Linked DNA regions of Styela clava. The protein of the gene in region 1 purifies or fractionates together with the protein of each later gene. This does not show direct contact. Links are inferred from orthologs where the notes say so. Each region holds a gene or a part of one and is shown in the gene's direction. Other genes may lie near its edges.

Region 1 (7,542 bases):
AACTCCTCTATTTTAGCAAATATACTGTGCCGTAATTGATGCTTACAATTTTTACGCTCTAATGATCAGGGGATGACTTTCAACATCTAAAAAATTGGAAAAGAAATGTAATTCAAAGAAGGTGTTTTTTTAGAAAATTAGATAATGGAAGTTGCTGTTTTATTTAAAATATCCTGATTCTGCATTTAGAATAGGATATATGTTGAATTTGAAAAGTTACATTTGGCAACGAACATATTTTTTCTTGGGTTATAGATAATTTAGAGCAGTAGTTTTATATACCGTTGCCCCTTTACAAAATTGTACAAATCATTATTGCCCTCCATATGCCAATACAAAAATGTGAAGTTACACACAAATTTATCACAGAACAATTAAAAAATTAGTCTAATCTTTGGCCATTGTTGTATTTCAATTGCCTAAAGCAACAAACTTAAATGAAAATCAATAATTTGAAATATTGTTTGTAATCGATTTTCATCCATGTTCAGAGTTCAGACTTTCAAATTTTTCACCTTTGCTCACGTAAAATTGCTTTATATTTATTTGACAAAGTTTTCTTTATCCATGTTGTTCTCAAAAAATTTTTTCATTCATTAGGCTTATGATATTAGGGGGTTTATAAATGTTATAAATTTTTTGATGATTATTCATAAAGTGGGGACAATATTCAAATTACCCGTTGACTCACTTTCACAAATTAACCCCTACTGGCGGAAATTTCCATTGCCCCACTTTTTGTTTATCTTATGTTATTCAATACTTTGCTAGTCCAACGTATCCTAATGGTGGAACAATAACTTTTCATACTGCGCAAAAACATCTGCAAATAGATTCATTTATGCGACTGTTCATATAAAATTTAAAACTGTCCAATTCAAAGTTTTTGTGTGAATTTTTTTATTGTACCTCAATTTAACTAAAACTGATTCATCACTACACTTATATTTGCTCTACTTTAAAAATTTGAATTTTAAAACTGTTTACAACTGACACTGATTATTTTGGAAGATAAAATCAGAAACTACTGTCATTTCTTACTTACCGGTACACTCTATTTGCGAAGTAGCAAAAAGTGTGGATTTTCTCAGTAATGAAATTAACCAGAGTTGAGAACTTTCATCCTGGGAAGATTTCTTTAATTTGTATTCATGCAGTAGCGAAAATTCACCCCCAAAGCAAGTCAAAAGTTATCCCAAAAGTCGAGTTTTACCCTCAGTTGAGAACCCCTGCTCTAGGAAAAGATTATTTCTATTTCTAAGAGATGCTGTAGTATATGCGTGTAGTAGTGAAAAGTGTATATTTTTATGTAGCAAAATTAACCCCCAAGGCGAATTGAATCTCCTCTCCCTAGAGGACAAATTTACCCCGGATACCCTACTCTAGAGGGAAATTTGATTAGTAGCGAAAAGTATAAATTTCCTCTCTCCTCTCCTTTTCTCTCCTGCAAAATTTACCCCAAAGTTGTTTAGTTAACCCCCTTCCAAAGAGATGAATGGAGTCCCAGCTTAGTTTTTCAATAAAAAGCTTGATGTATGTGCTCTTGCTGTAATTTATAATTTTGTCGCACTGTTGATGTTTCCACAATTTTATCTTTGTTCTTGAATTCTTAATTAGCATCTATGAATAATCGTATAAATTTAATTTAAAATAGCCATCACTAGATGGTGTAGTTTGCTATTTTCAAATTTTTATTTGTGTTTCTATTTTATTGATGTCTTTCACTCACCCCTACGTATGTGACACAGAATCTATTTATTATTTTGAAAAATGATTTCCAAATAATTCAAACATGTATATTGCTTGCACTGCAGGAGCACTTTTGCTTTGAGGTAATCTAATGGAATGATGGCTATTTGATTTAAACTCTACCAAGAACTATTAGTCACTGATAATAGCGAAATACAGTAATACGTATATCTTTGCAGATAAGCCGATGCCTCCTGAAAACGGCTCTAAAATGATGAGTTTATAAAATTCATCGTAAATGCCTACCGTACAAATCGTAACTCACACCACCTATCACGGCAAAACGTTGCAGGAGAGAATTAATGAAAATTATAGCCATTTTTGTTATGTTTTGCTTTCATTAAAAACGGTAAGAAGTGTCTCAAAATCCTTCTTATCATCACTGTCAAACCGTTTAGCGCGATCAGAGTTATGCGTGTGTAAGCCGATTTCATTAGTTCCCAATTTTTCTACTTTTAATTGGGAAATTAGGTGTCGTTGCTCTATTATACCCAGCTTCCAATTTTACACGCGATATCTCACGAAAGCGTGGATGAATCTGCTCCAAATTTTGCATATGCATTCATCATACCTCGGATCAGAAGCCTATTGATTTTGGATGAAATATGTCGTATGATTAGCGAGTAATTGATTAATTAGTGATGGGACACAAGGTGTCTATTATACCCAGCTTCGGTTCGTCGCGGCTCCCACTCTCCGGTACAATATTGAGCATATTTTCTCATAATTTGTTCCATTGATTTTTCGCTGATTGGAAAAACTAAATTTAACTTGACTTAGTGAAATACTTGCAGTACTTCTAGATAAAATATCATCTTTAAATCATTGAAGTGTAAAATTGCGGCATCAGGCCTATTCTGTTTGGAGGTAATTATTCTGGCGAGTCCCTGGTTTCGATTATTTATTATTTGACAAAATTTTACTTGACTCGAAAATTTCATTCAAATGCATTTTGTACTTTACTGATTCCTTATCTATTGCCATTCTGATTTCTTGCTCGTAAATGAATTTCTAATTTATGTTTACTTTTTCCTTATTATGTTACAGTAGGGTGTTCATAAAGTCATAAAAATGTTTTCAAATTGCAAAAGGAATTTATCGATACCATTTATAGTTTGTTGGCCATACAGGTGCATAAATGAAGTAAAATAACTTTATAAAACACTGATTAAAATAAAACAAGCCCGGTTAAGATATACTGAGAACTGAATTCATAACAAAATTGAAAATGGTAACAGGACCTTTATGAACACGCCGTATTTGTGGGTTAAATCAGGGCTACTCAACTGTTTTCACTGAAGATTCGCAAACAAAACTTCAAAATTATTGGTGTCCAATCTTTCCAGAAATTATAGTTTAACAGCCTTTATCAACGCGCACTTTCTCGACTAGCTTTGGATCCAGGACGCGATCTACAAGTTGAGTAGCCCGGGTAAGGTTAGGTTGGGGGTTATTATGTAGGTTGGTGTATTTTATATAAGTTCCTATGAGAGTGGTGTATTATTTTTTAAGTGTCAGTAATTTGAATGTTCAGGAATTTAGTTTGAAACTAAGTGCTGATATGGAAACATCAATAATTTATGGAATGTATTCAATATTACACAACTATTCGAACATTGTTATCTAATATTAAATGTGAGACCAGTGAGAAGTAAGCGATATAAATTATGCGATGTTTTGAATTGCCTGTTTCAGTGGTTTCTTCTCTTATCCGCCCGCATTTTGAACACAAAATGATGCAATCTGTTAAAACTAAAAGTACCGTGAGAAAATTTCGACTGGCTATATATGACTAAATTTGTTTGCGTTGCCTAACCCTAACCTGGTACACATACTACGTTCCGGTGTCTGCCATCTTGGTTCACATACCTCGGGACTACCCATTTATGTGCATGAAAAAAAAAACATGTATCGCACTGATGTGCAAATATTGTGAAACTTTTCCTTCCAGTGATCGAACTCTAACAAAGTCGAATTTTCTTTTCAATACGCTGTGATTTATTCAACAGAATTTTAATTAATGTAAAAAAGTTTGGGATCCTTTGGTCAATGCAGACACACCTGGGCAATGTCATTTATGTGTTCTTTGGGACATTTATAACGTGCTGTCAATATAGTTTTTTTTTTACACATGTTCAAGTATCCATTTATCTATGTTTATTTGTGGCCCCACAGTGAAAATAATGTCATGTAGATCTTTTTCCAGGGACGGGGATGGCCTTTCATCGAATCAAACTCAGACCTTTTAATTCAATTTCTGTATTTTTGCGAACTTTCACAAATAAATTTACTGTGCTATATTGTATTTATATCTGGTTTAACATTGCTGTTTGTAGGAGAGGCACCTTTTAACAGGGGTTGTAAGTAGGGATTTTCAGAGAGGAAGGCTCCTGAAATTTCCAATTGTCAAGCTTGCGGGTCTGACCAGAGGCAGAGAAATGTGGGTTAACACCCTCAACTTTCTGTCTACGACCTTTCCACCTAGCTATTCTTTGACAGTGTGGTGTTTTATTTTTTCTGTGTCAAATTATGTTATAAATCCATTAACAGGTGCCTCGCCTACTTTCAGTCACAAATTTCTATATTATTCACACATCACATTCACAAGACAGCTTATTCAATTTTTCGCTTGTTTTTTTGTAGCTTAGAATAAAACCTAGCTTAAAATACGCCGATACAATAATCATTTCATTGCAACGACCTTCAACCTTTGAACCAGGATGTTTCAAGACGATGACCTTGAACTGAGAGATGGGGAAGATGAAGAGGATATCTCGCCTGAATTATGGCAGGAAGCTTGCTGGATTGTTATCAGCTCTTACTTTGATGAAAAAGGTAGGATTTGTATTTTTTCGCAAGTTTTATGCCTCTGCCTTTCATTACTTATCGATCTTAAGATCGGTAAGTATGTTGATAGGTATTTGTCTGTTTGTTTGTCTGTTAGATACACGCGATATCTCACGAAAGCGAGGATCAATCCGCTCCAAATTTTGCATATGCATTCATCATACCTTGGATCAGAAGCCTATTGATTTTGGATGAATTATGTCGTATGATTAGCGAGTTATTGATTAATTAGTGATGGGACACAAGGTGTCACTATGGAGTAAGAGCGCTGTTTTGGGGGATCCCACAACTTTCGATCGATAAGTCTTCGGTCGCTGACCGATATTCTCGTTGAATCCTTGACACTTAAGAACTTCTGTAGCCACTTTGATTAACGGGGTCCAGATCCGAGAACAAAATAGCAGGTGTTTTCAGAACCGGAGGTTGCCTATCACTGCTCTAGCTTTAGGAAGCAATAAAATGTCCAGAAATCGTTATTTCAAGACTTTGAATATTTTTTCCAGATCATGATAGAAACGGACATGGGTGTGGCTATTTGACCAATGATACAGCTTTCCCACTGTATCGTTTAAAGCATTGGTTATCAACCCATTTTTTTCAAGCGGCTCGAAATTTTCTAAAAAATAAATTCTGTAAGATCTCTCGACGCAAATACTAAATGGCATGTAATACTATGTAGGGAACTTGGATATTGTGTATTGAACTGCAGGTCCTTTCTCCTTGTTTACTTTCTACTTCGGATTATTGCTGTTATTAAGTTATATCTTGTATTGTTTGAAGAAGTTAGACCATGATCTAACGAAAGCTCACAAATATACTTACTAATTCGTTGAAAGAGATCATGTTATTTTTACTTATCACTTTAATACTATGTGGCCGCAAAAATGGAATGACTGATATAAAACAAAGTGAAAAAGCTGAGCTAGTTTGCCCTCAGCGTGGTTTTGAAACCTAGTATCTCACAATACAATTACTCCACTCATACAATTACTATTGAGCAACACTTCAATACCCAATATAAAATAAACAATAAAATTTACTATAAAATAAAATTAGTAACTTTTAGATTTCTGTTGAAAAAACGAATGGCCCAAAAAGATTTTTAGGCGACGCAGTTTCGGATCGTGACCAGTAGTGGGATTCAGCTGGTTCGCACCGGTTCTATAAAACCGTCTCGCAGAATTTGATGAGATCAGCGAACCGGTTAGCACTACTGGTTACTGTCAATGACTTTTTGTAACAGAACCGACTAAAAAATATGACTTTTGCGATGGAACCGGCTGACAAAAAAATTGAATCCCACTACTGGGGTGACCCATAGGTTTGGAAACACAGGTTTAATGGATACTGATCATGCAAAGAGATTGTAATTGAAGTTTGCCTAAAAAAATTCATCTATTTTGTATTTGATATATTCATTATGTTTTTTTTCAATCAGGAATAGCTTCCGTAAAAATTTTAGGTTTCCATGTCAGAACAGCTTGGTATTTTAGATTGGTATAGCAGTGCTGTGATATTTGGAAGAAATCCAATGTCAAAAAATGGAATTCACGAAAACACAGATTTGTAGAGTGTATTCACTAATTCACAATACATTTAATCAAAATTCCTCCATTGCTATAATCAGCATTTGCTGAAGTTAGCAAGCTGTCTATTCTACCACTAAACCACGTTGTCTTCTGACCCCGAGGGCAAAATGTAACTCTCAGATCATTAATGTTTTCTCTATAAATATACAGTAACATGATAATATGCTTGGGATTAAAATGGCCAATATTGATCGAATGTTTGAAAATATATTTGATTTTATCTCTGATGTAACATATTGATAAATTAGAGTATTTTCACTCAAAAAAGTATTGTTTTTTTGCGAAGAAATTTGCTCAAAGCAAAGTCGTGCACACACTCAAAAGTAATCAATATCGGTCCATAAGGGCAGTCACGAGCGACCAATGCTAAGGGATTGTGAGATACTGGAACAAAAAGAATTATCGCATAGGCCTATTATATTTAGCCTCTATTAATATACAAAGTTTTGTGCATACTCTGTTTGAAATTATCCATTTAAAATTAAATCTTTTTTTACTTGCGTGCGTTACTAAATATGAAAAGTTGTGCTGTTGAACAAAACCATGTCCATATCATAACTATGCACTTAAAAATTTTACATGTCAAATTAGTAGTACTTGAGAGTGTATTCATATATTTGCCATAAATTTGGTCATTCAAATATGGAACTGTTTATGTGTTAGATTAAAGAAGGTGTGAATGTCCTCAAGTGTTTATACCAGGGGTCGGCAACCTACGGCCCGCGGAGTAATATAATCCGGCCTTCGAGGTTTCATTGAATCATAGTAACAAAACAGCTGTTTTGACGAATATATTCTTTATTCAACATAATTTATTGTGAGAGGTGTGTAGACTAAATTATATTATAATCTAACAAGTATAAAATTCACAATTACGAAGAAAGGTGAAGCTGAGTGTAAAGGGTTTAATGGCGCCGACAATATTCAATTGGAATATTTTGAGACACAATGCAATGAAGATATAAATCTATATTCTATTCGAGAGATGTATCCTTGCTTGATTTTTATTATAAAAAGTATCATCCATTCGGCTTTCAACTTTCTAAAAATATGTGCGGCCCGCCAATGACTTGCAACCCTTTATTTTGGCCCGCGAGCGACAAAAAGTTGCCGGCCCCCTGGTTTAGACCTTTGTAATATTTTTTTTTATTGTCATAATAACTTGAATTATTAACAGAACCCTAAATGTCTGTCATATGCCACCTAATTGAGTAAGGTTGAAGTTCACAGGGGGTTCGTATGTCTTCAAGTTTTTAGACCTCGTTGCAGTTGTGATCTTTTTTTGGTGCTCCCGAAGTATGCGAACCAAGATGGCGGACATCGGAACGAAACATGGGTAACAGGTTAGGGTTAGGCG
Region 2 (7,450 bases), on another chromosome or scaffold:
TTTCTTCATTGGTTTTTGCACAAATATCAGTCATTTCCAAAAAAGCGCGCACACACTAAAATTTCTGCGCACACATACTACAAAAAATTAGAGGGAACATTGCTGCCATCTATCTACTGTGAAACTTTTACCTGATTGTGGAATTTTACTGGACTGTGACTTGTATATACTGTACATATACTTTCATTACAAGTTCTTTCATACAAGTTGGATGTGTTTATGTGTGCGTTACTACTGTGTCGAGAGTGAGCTACGGAAACGGAAGTAGATTGACAAGCCTAATAAGCAGAAATAAGACCTGTAGAACCTCTTAACTCTACATTAAGTTACAATATAAGTCGGTTTGTGATGATATATAATATAATTAAAGTATATTCGATCAATTTTTATATTTATTTATGTATTTTAATTGTACTGAAATAACTTTTACTACGTGAGAATTGACAGAAAATTTACGGATTTTTCGAAAGGTTTTATCTTTAAAAATAATCGGAGTGACAGCATTGCGATTGAGCGGAGCCAGTGTTACAAGTACATCTCAAATTTATGGAATTCGCAAAATAGCAAAAATACGGATCAAAACAATATATAAACGGGCAGTTTACCACACATTTTTATGTCTGCGGATTGCCGTGGTGTTTTAGAGTGGCTCTTGTTTTGTCGACTCAACCGCAGTTTAAATTGAAGACAATTAAATTAATAAATCAAGACATTTTGAATATGCCCGTATCGGTCTTTGATTGATTACTTTGCACAAGTGAAAAATCATTTTTCGTTGAAAAAGTCGACTCTTTTTACTAGTGGCGACTGTTCCACGTGGATTTCGAGGCGGTGAAATTATATTTTTGATTTACTAGTATACTTTATAATTATTTTCATTGTATGAACAAAATTTTGTACTATATGGGATTTTATATCAGATATCGAGATTTTTGTAACGGCGATAACGAGTTCGGAAGATTGGAAAAATACGTATCAAAATTAAATACATCAGGCAGCTTATCTCATATTTTTATGTCCACATATCGCCGTGTTACTTTAGTTTGATAATATTTTTATTTTAACGTAAGAAGTCGCAAACGCGAGTTACGTTGTACACAAATAAATTAATATATAAGGACATTTTAGAATCTCGTGGCTGTCATGGATTGAATATTTTACGCGACAGAAAAATCATTATAGGCTTAAATAGGCGGCTTTTTTAACGGGCGCGTAATCACGGTGCTTGTTGCAGACGGCAATGGGAAGTTCCGACTTTTGCAATTCGAATTTTACGAAACGGCGTTAGTGCGCTTTATGCAGAACTAGGAATAGAAACAATAACCTAATACGACTCCTCAAATTTGTTATTTTCTTGTTGGTAGCAAGGGCCGTGGGCTAATTCTCGCGGAATTCAAGAAATTGGCTCTGTGACGCGCAAGGTCCGTGTCTAAGCGAAGCATCCTAGGTACTCGATATATGAGTAGCAAAATGACATTCTAATACTTACAGAATGACATCGACAGATTATTGTTACGTGACGATACACGGCGCGGTGTTTTTAGGTAGGCGGTCCAAGTTCGCCCCCCCAAAATTATGGAAAGTGTCTGCCCTGCATTTGAAGTTCTTAAATCAAGATGATGTGGCTGGTACGTCACTTACGCTTTCTACGAAACCCTCAAATGTGTCGGACTTTGATCCAGAGCAAGCAAATAAGATCTTGCAGCAAATTTTTACTCCTATGGCAAATGATGATAAAGGATTTATGTTGGATCCAAACGTTCCATTCTTATCAAAAGAGAAGCAAGTTCTGTCACCTGCAAAGAATTTTTGAGTGATATTATGCATGATCATAGATTTGATGCAAGTACAAATCAGCATCTTATTCTCTCGAATCCCATTGAAGTTTGAAATGTTCAAACTGAAGTGCCGAAAGTTGGAGGCGCAGTTCTTACCACTTCATGGCAGCTCCTGCCACGAACGAACCGCGGCAACTCTTGCCATGGTTTTATAGCGCTATCCAGTAATCAGTATTAACGGTATATTCACAAATTAATGTACCAGATTTCAAATGGTCATGCGGAATAATATCTACTTAAAGTTAAACCCTACCCTAACCCTAAATTCATCAAAACTGTATCCATAAGAAAACGTTCCAACTTACCCAATTTTTGTCACCATAAGGAACAGCCCTGTCTTTACGGCCCACCTGCCGTGGTTATGGCAGCAAAATTTCACCTGCCATTGGTTTCCAATTTGCTGCCGCGGTAACGCCAGCCTGTCATTGGTTTGTGGCAGCTAAAAAGTCAGTCGCCATAGGTTTGGCCGTAGCGGCCATGGTATGGAAATATCGTCATGGTTTTGCGGCAGCTGCAGACCCCACAGAATACTTAAACCTGCACTTGGAAAGTCGAACCTGTAAACAGGTCAGCAGCTCATGAAATTAAGATTGAGTCACCGGGTACTATAAGAAGCCATACCAAGATGGAATATGGTACGCCGGATCACACTGTTCATGCAATGGCGCAGCTGACGCAAGCTTTACAGGGAGGAATGCTGAATGTAGCAAGCAAGGTTTATAAAGAACATCATGGTAACAAAACGATCCATAGGTACATTTCGTATCAAACAAGACAACAACATAATAACACAAGATAGCGACGTAAAAATATATGGACACGTGAGCATTTTGCCAATTTCCGAAAATAATACCACAGTCCATCGTTCGACATGAAAAACTTCCCACTTTTGCTAAGTAGTAGATCCATCGGCAAACGCCGAGCACGGAATCAGGTGGCGTGCGTTCGCAGAACGTTCGGTCACGTCATAGCAAAGAAAAAAAGAATTCCACAGAGCTAACAGAAATATATGAAATAAATAAAAGTCATGGCCTTCTAGATAGAATTCTCCAACCACTGAAAATTTTGAAGATATTGGTCCAGTAATCAAAGATAGAAGCGACTTTTTAAGTTTTCTACTAGGTGTCCAAAAATAATGCAAAACGATCGCTATATCCACTAACGTGTAACGATGCATAGGTCCACTTCGTGTCAAAAAATAAACATCAATGTGGACAGGATATTCCCAATATTCGAATCCAAAAACGTTCGAAGCAATGGCTGGTAATCACCAAAATTTTTTGTTGCGTTATATTCTCATATTAGTCCCTATTCATTGATAAATTCATAGTTTTGCCCCCGGGACCGGAAAAGTTCAAAAAAATCTTACCAAAATTTTAAATTTTTCCACAATTCTCAATATTCGAACCCAAATAAGTTCGAAAAATCGCAGGAAAGCACCAAAATTTTTTTGGCCCGTTGAGTTCTCATATTAGTCCTCTATTCATTGGTAAATTCATATTTTTGCCCCCGGGACCGGAAAAGTTCAAAAAAATCGGGTATCCCACCAATGTTTTCACAGGAAGCATCGCAGGAAAGCATCAAAATTTTTTTGTTGCGGTGGGTTCTCATATTAGTCCTTTATTCATTGGTAAATTCATATTTTTGCCCCCGGGACCGGAAAAGTTCAACAAAATCGTTGCACAATTCCCAATATTCGCACCCAAAAAAGTTCGAAAAATCGCAGGTAAGCACCAAAAATTTTTTGTCGCGGTGAGTTCTCATATTTGTCCTTTATTCAGTTGGTAATCCATATTTTTGCCCCCGGGACCAGAAAAGTTAAATAAAAAAAATCAATTTGTTTTTTTACCAAAATTTTCAATTCTTGCACAATTCCCAATATTCGAACCCAAAAAAGTTCGGAAAATCACAGGTAATCACTAAAATTTTTTGTCGTGTTAAATTCTTATATTAGTCCTCTATTTAGTGGTAAATTCATATTTACCATGAATCCACGATGAATATTGTAAAAATGTAAATATAACTTCTGTTCCTCATTTTACGATTCATGGCACACCCTGGTATGACACCCGGTAGAATGTTTAAAACATTTGGCTGGAATTTTGCTGGCATTGCAGTGGCGTAAAAACAAAAACAAATGTGATTTCATGTATGTACATTATTCTTCAATACTTTTTTTTTATTTGTCACTTTCTCTTGCTAATAGAACTTTTTTTCAATGGATGATGGTGTTGAATAATGCATATTTTCTGTACTGATGAACACATTTTGTTACCATGAAAACATTTACCGGTACTGCTATTTTATTGCTCCACGAGAATTATTTATTCATTCCCTGTTAATATTTATCAATTTTTGGTTGTTATGCTTTTCATTACACCCAGCTTAAGTAATTACTACCGGTAATTAGTTTTCACAACTTTTTCACTTTTGTGAGAGATTTTCGTTTTCCACTGTGTTATTAGTATTTGTTTTGATACTAACATTAAGTTTGATATCACGACCGCCATACTTACTTCCTTTGTTGTGTTTTCCATCACTAGTTCTTTTTGACAATTCACTTTCTATATTCTTCACTAGCGAATTATTCCACATGTTTTGTAAGCTGTTTTACACTGGTATCTGCAGGCAACACATTACAGCGTTATAAGAAGTGCTGTGACTGATCGTATTAACACGCATCGACCATATTTTGCCATCCCTAATCTGACATGCTTCGACTGTATTTTGCCATCCCTAATTTAACAAAATTAGACCGTATTTCGCCATCCCTGATATGACCTGTGCTACCAACCCCGCACAATTATTCTGATGAACTTGATTCATTATGCAAATATATATAAGGTAAATATGAGTACATCTGTTACCAAAATGAAGTGGAACTAATTCTTAAATTTTATTTTTATGCATTAATTAGAAGAGGGTAATGATACTTGGCATTACAGCATTATGGAACATATAATCTATGATGACACCAAATGGGATATGCAGATATATGAAGTACCCGCTATCATGTGGATACAACTGATCAATATAAATTATGGAAATTGTTATGTGTCATCTGTATGTAATGATTTATATTATTATTTTATTTATCATCAAAGAAAAAAGTACAATATAAGGGTTTCAAACTTGAAATTTTAAATTAATAGGCCTATTATAAAATAAAGTACTGTTTAAAAATTTATGAGCTGGAAAGGATAAATTTTCTTATTTGTGTGATGTATTGGAAATTTATAAATAATTAAAAAACAATTAGATGGTTGGAGCTGGAGCCACTGAAATTGTTGGTAGCTCCATCTAACATTTTAGGCTTGGCTCCAGCTCCACCAAAATGTCACAGCTCCCTGGATCCTCAGCCGGGTTTGAAACATAATGCCGCATTTAATTCAGATATTAGAATACAGATATTGAATATAGTTAAAATTGCCACTATGCCACGTTATGCTCAATTGGTGATGGGACCTGCTGGAAGTGGGAAAAGTACATACTGTTCAATGATGGTGGAGCATTTTTCGGTGCTAAAACGGAAATGTTATGTTGTAAACTTAGATCCTGCTGCAGAATATTTTGATTACCCTGTCGAACTGGATATCAGGGAACTTATTCATTTGGATGATGTGATGGAAGATGAAGAGTTACGATTTGGGCCTAATGGGGGCTTAGTATTTTGCATGGAGTATTTTGCTAAAAATATGGACTGGATTAAAGAATTCATAACAGACATGGAAGAGGATAGCTATTTTCTATTTGACTGCCCTGGTCAAATTGAACTATACACGCACTTACCTGTTATGAAAACTTTAGTAGAAAATTTACAAAATTGGGACTTTCGAACTTGTGGTGTATTTCTCGTTGATTCGCAATTTCTTGGAGAGCCAAGCAAATTCATATCAGGTACATTGTCTTCGCTATCCTGTATGATAAATCTTGAAATAACACATCTAAGTGTAATGACCAAAGTTGATCTTCTTTCAAAACATTCAAAGCGAGATCTTCAAAAATTTTTAGATCCTGAAATGCAAAATCTACTTTTAGCAGACATGTGTGATACATATCATGATAAAAAATATCAAAAACTTACAGAATCTCTTTGTCAAATTATTGACGATTACAGTATGGTCAGATTTCTTCCACTTGATAGATCTGATGAAGAATCCATTAATATAATACTTCAGCATATTGATACAGCTATGCAGTTTAGTGAAGACCAACCTGTTCGTGTAGAAGATTATAATGAAGATAATGAAAGGGATGCAGAAGACTAGGGTTGCTCCCTCTGCTGTCTATCCGGACGAAGCTGGGTATGAGTAATAAATAGGTCACGACCTTCCTGAACACATCCAAAATTGGGACCATCATCAAAAATCTGTGCACTATATTGTTTCACTTACAATTTCGAGGACAAATAATGGTTGATAACAAAGTAATATGGCGGCGAAAGAAGTACACGTCGTAAATGCTTGAATAAGCCAAACAGGTGGTGATATCATTTTGTCAGACCCATAATAAGCGCCTTTTTAGCGTTCTGATTTACTTGTTTTCAGAAGGCAGTGATACAATTTTATATCTTGGGTATATATGATGTTCCATCTTCGCTGAGTCTTTAAAATAGTGTGATTGTGTAACTTTTTCATAATATTTCTATATGTGAAAATTTTATAGAATGGAGTCTCAATTTCTGAGACATTTGAAATGAAATCTTGTGCTGAATGATCCTGTTCTATTGTGAGTTTATTTTATAGTCGTATATTGGAAAGTAATTTTCGCTTCTAGAAGTAGGAATGGCTCCATCGTTTTTTTTAATGCATAATTCTGTTCTTTACAGTATCTTATTTTGTATATTGGTTATCAAAAGGAAATGTGAATCTTTTGTGTTGCGAAATTGAACTTATATCTTGATTTTATCATCAAGATGCCATGTTTTGCATAAAAATCAGCTTCATCTTGTTGAAACTGACTAAATCATGTCTGTAATGGATTGTCTACATCTTTTTACTTTCACGCCATTGATTATATTTCTTGCATTTACATAATCATCAAGTTTTCATATTTTCTTGCAGATTTCATGCACTTTACTATGCTATGGCTTTGAACAAACACATGCACCCAAGGAATGGGTACAAAGATAATCCTCCAGATTTTATTGAACTATCGAAACAGTATCCTGAATTTAAACCATATGTCAAATACAATCCAAATGGAAAGGCATTTGTAAATTTCCGAATTCCGTCTGTTGTAAGAATATTAACAAAATGTTTATTACATAAGGACTTCGAACTTGATGTAGATCTTCCTTCAGATAGGCTTTCTCCTACAGTTCCATCTCGTTTAAATTATATTCTATGGATAGAAGATTTATTGAATGCTACTTCACAGGAATTTACCAAGCAAAGGCATATTGTGGATATCGGCACAGGGTCAGCCTGTATATATCCGTTACTGGGCATGAGAAATAACCCAGACTGGAAATTCACTGCAACTGAGATTGATAGTTTAAACTTCAAAAATGCTGTTAATAACATAGAAAAAAATTCACTAAAGTCATCGATAAAAGTTCTCAAAGTTGACAAAAGTGCTACAACTTCTTTGCTATTACATTTATTCCAAGA

Evidence for each region.
Region 2: the proteins of DNA-directed RNA polymerase II subunit RPB2 (region 1) and GPN-loop GTPase 3-like purify together in Homo sapiens (co-immunoprecipitation; 3 studies listed by BioGRID and IntAct, counting the BioPlex papers as one, with this or other methods). This does not show direct contact. The link is inferred for Styela clava from reciprocal best matches to the Homo sapiens genes POLR2B and GPN3.

What each region holds. Positions count from the first base shown.
Region 1 is NC_135255.1:20,506,761-20,514,302, reverse strand, and holds the start of DNA-directed RNA polymerase II subunit RPB2, read left to right. Parts: upstream 1-4,445; 5' UTR 4,446-4,469; coding exon 4,470-4,584; intron 4,585-7,542. UniProt on the Homo sapiens protein: Catalytic core component of RNA polymerase II (Pol II), a DNA-dependent RNA polymerase which synthesizes mRNA precursors and many functional non-coding RNAs using the four ribonucleoside triphosphates as substrates.
Region 2 is NC_135263.1:14,651,802-14,659,251, forward strand, and holds GPN-loop GTPase 3-like, read left to right. Parts: upstream 1-5,048; 5' UTR 5,049-5,272; coding exon 5,273-6,106; 3' UTR 6,107-6,902; downstream 6,903-7,450. Other genes in the region: RNA N(6)-adenosine-methyltransferase METTL16-like, read left to right, coding at 6,924-7,450. UniProt on the Homo sapiens protein: Small GTPase required for proper localization of RNA polymerase II (RNAPII). May act at an RNAP assembly step prior to nuclear import.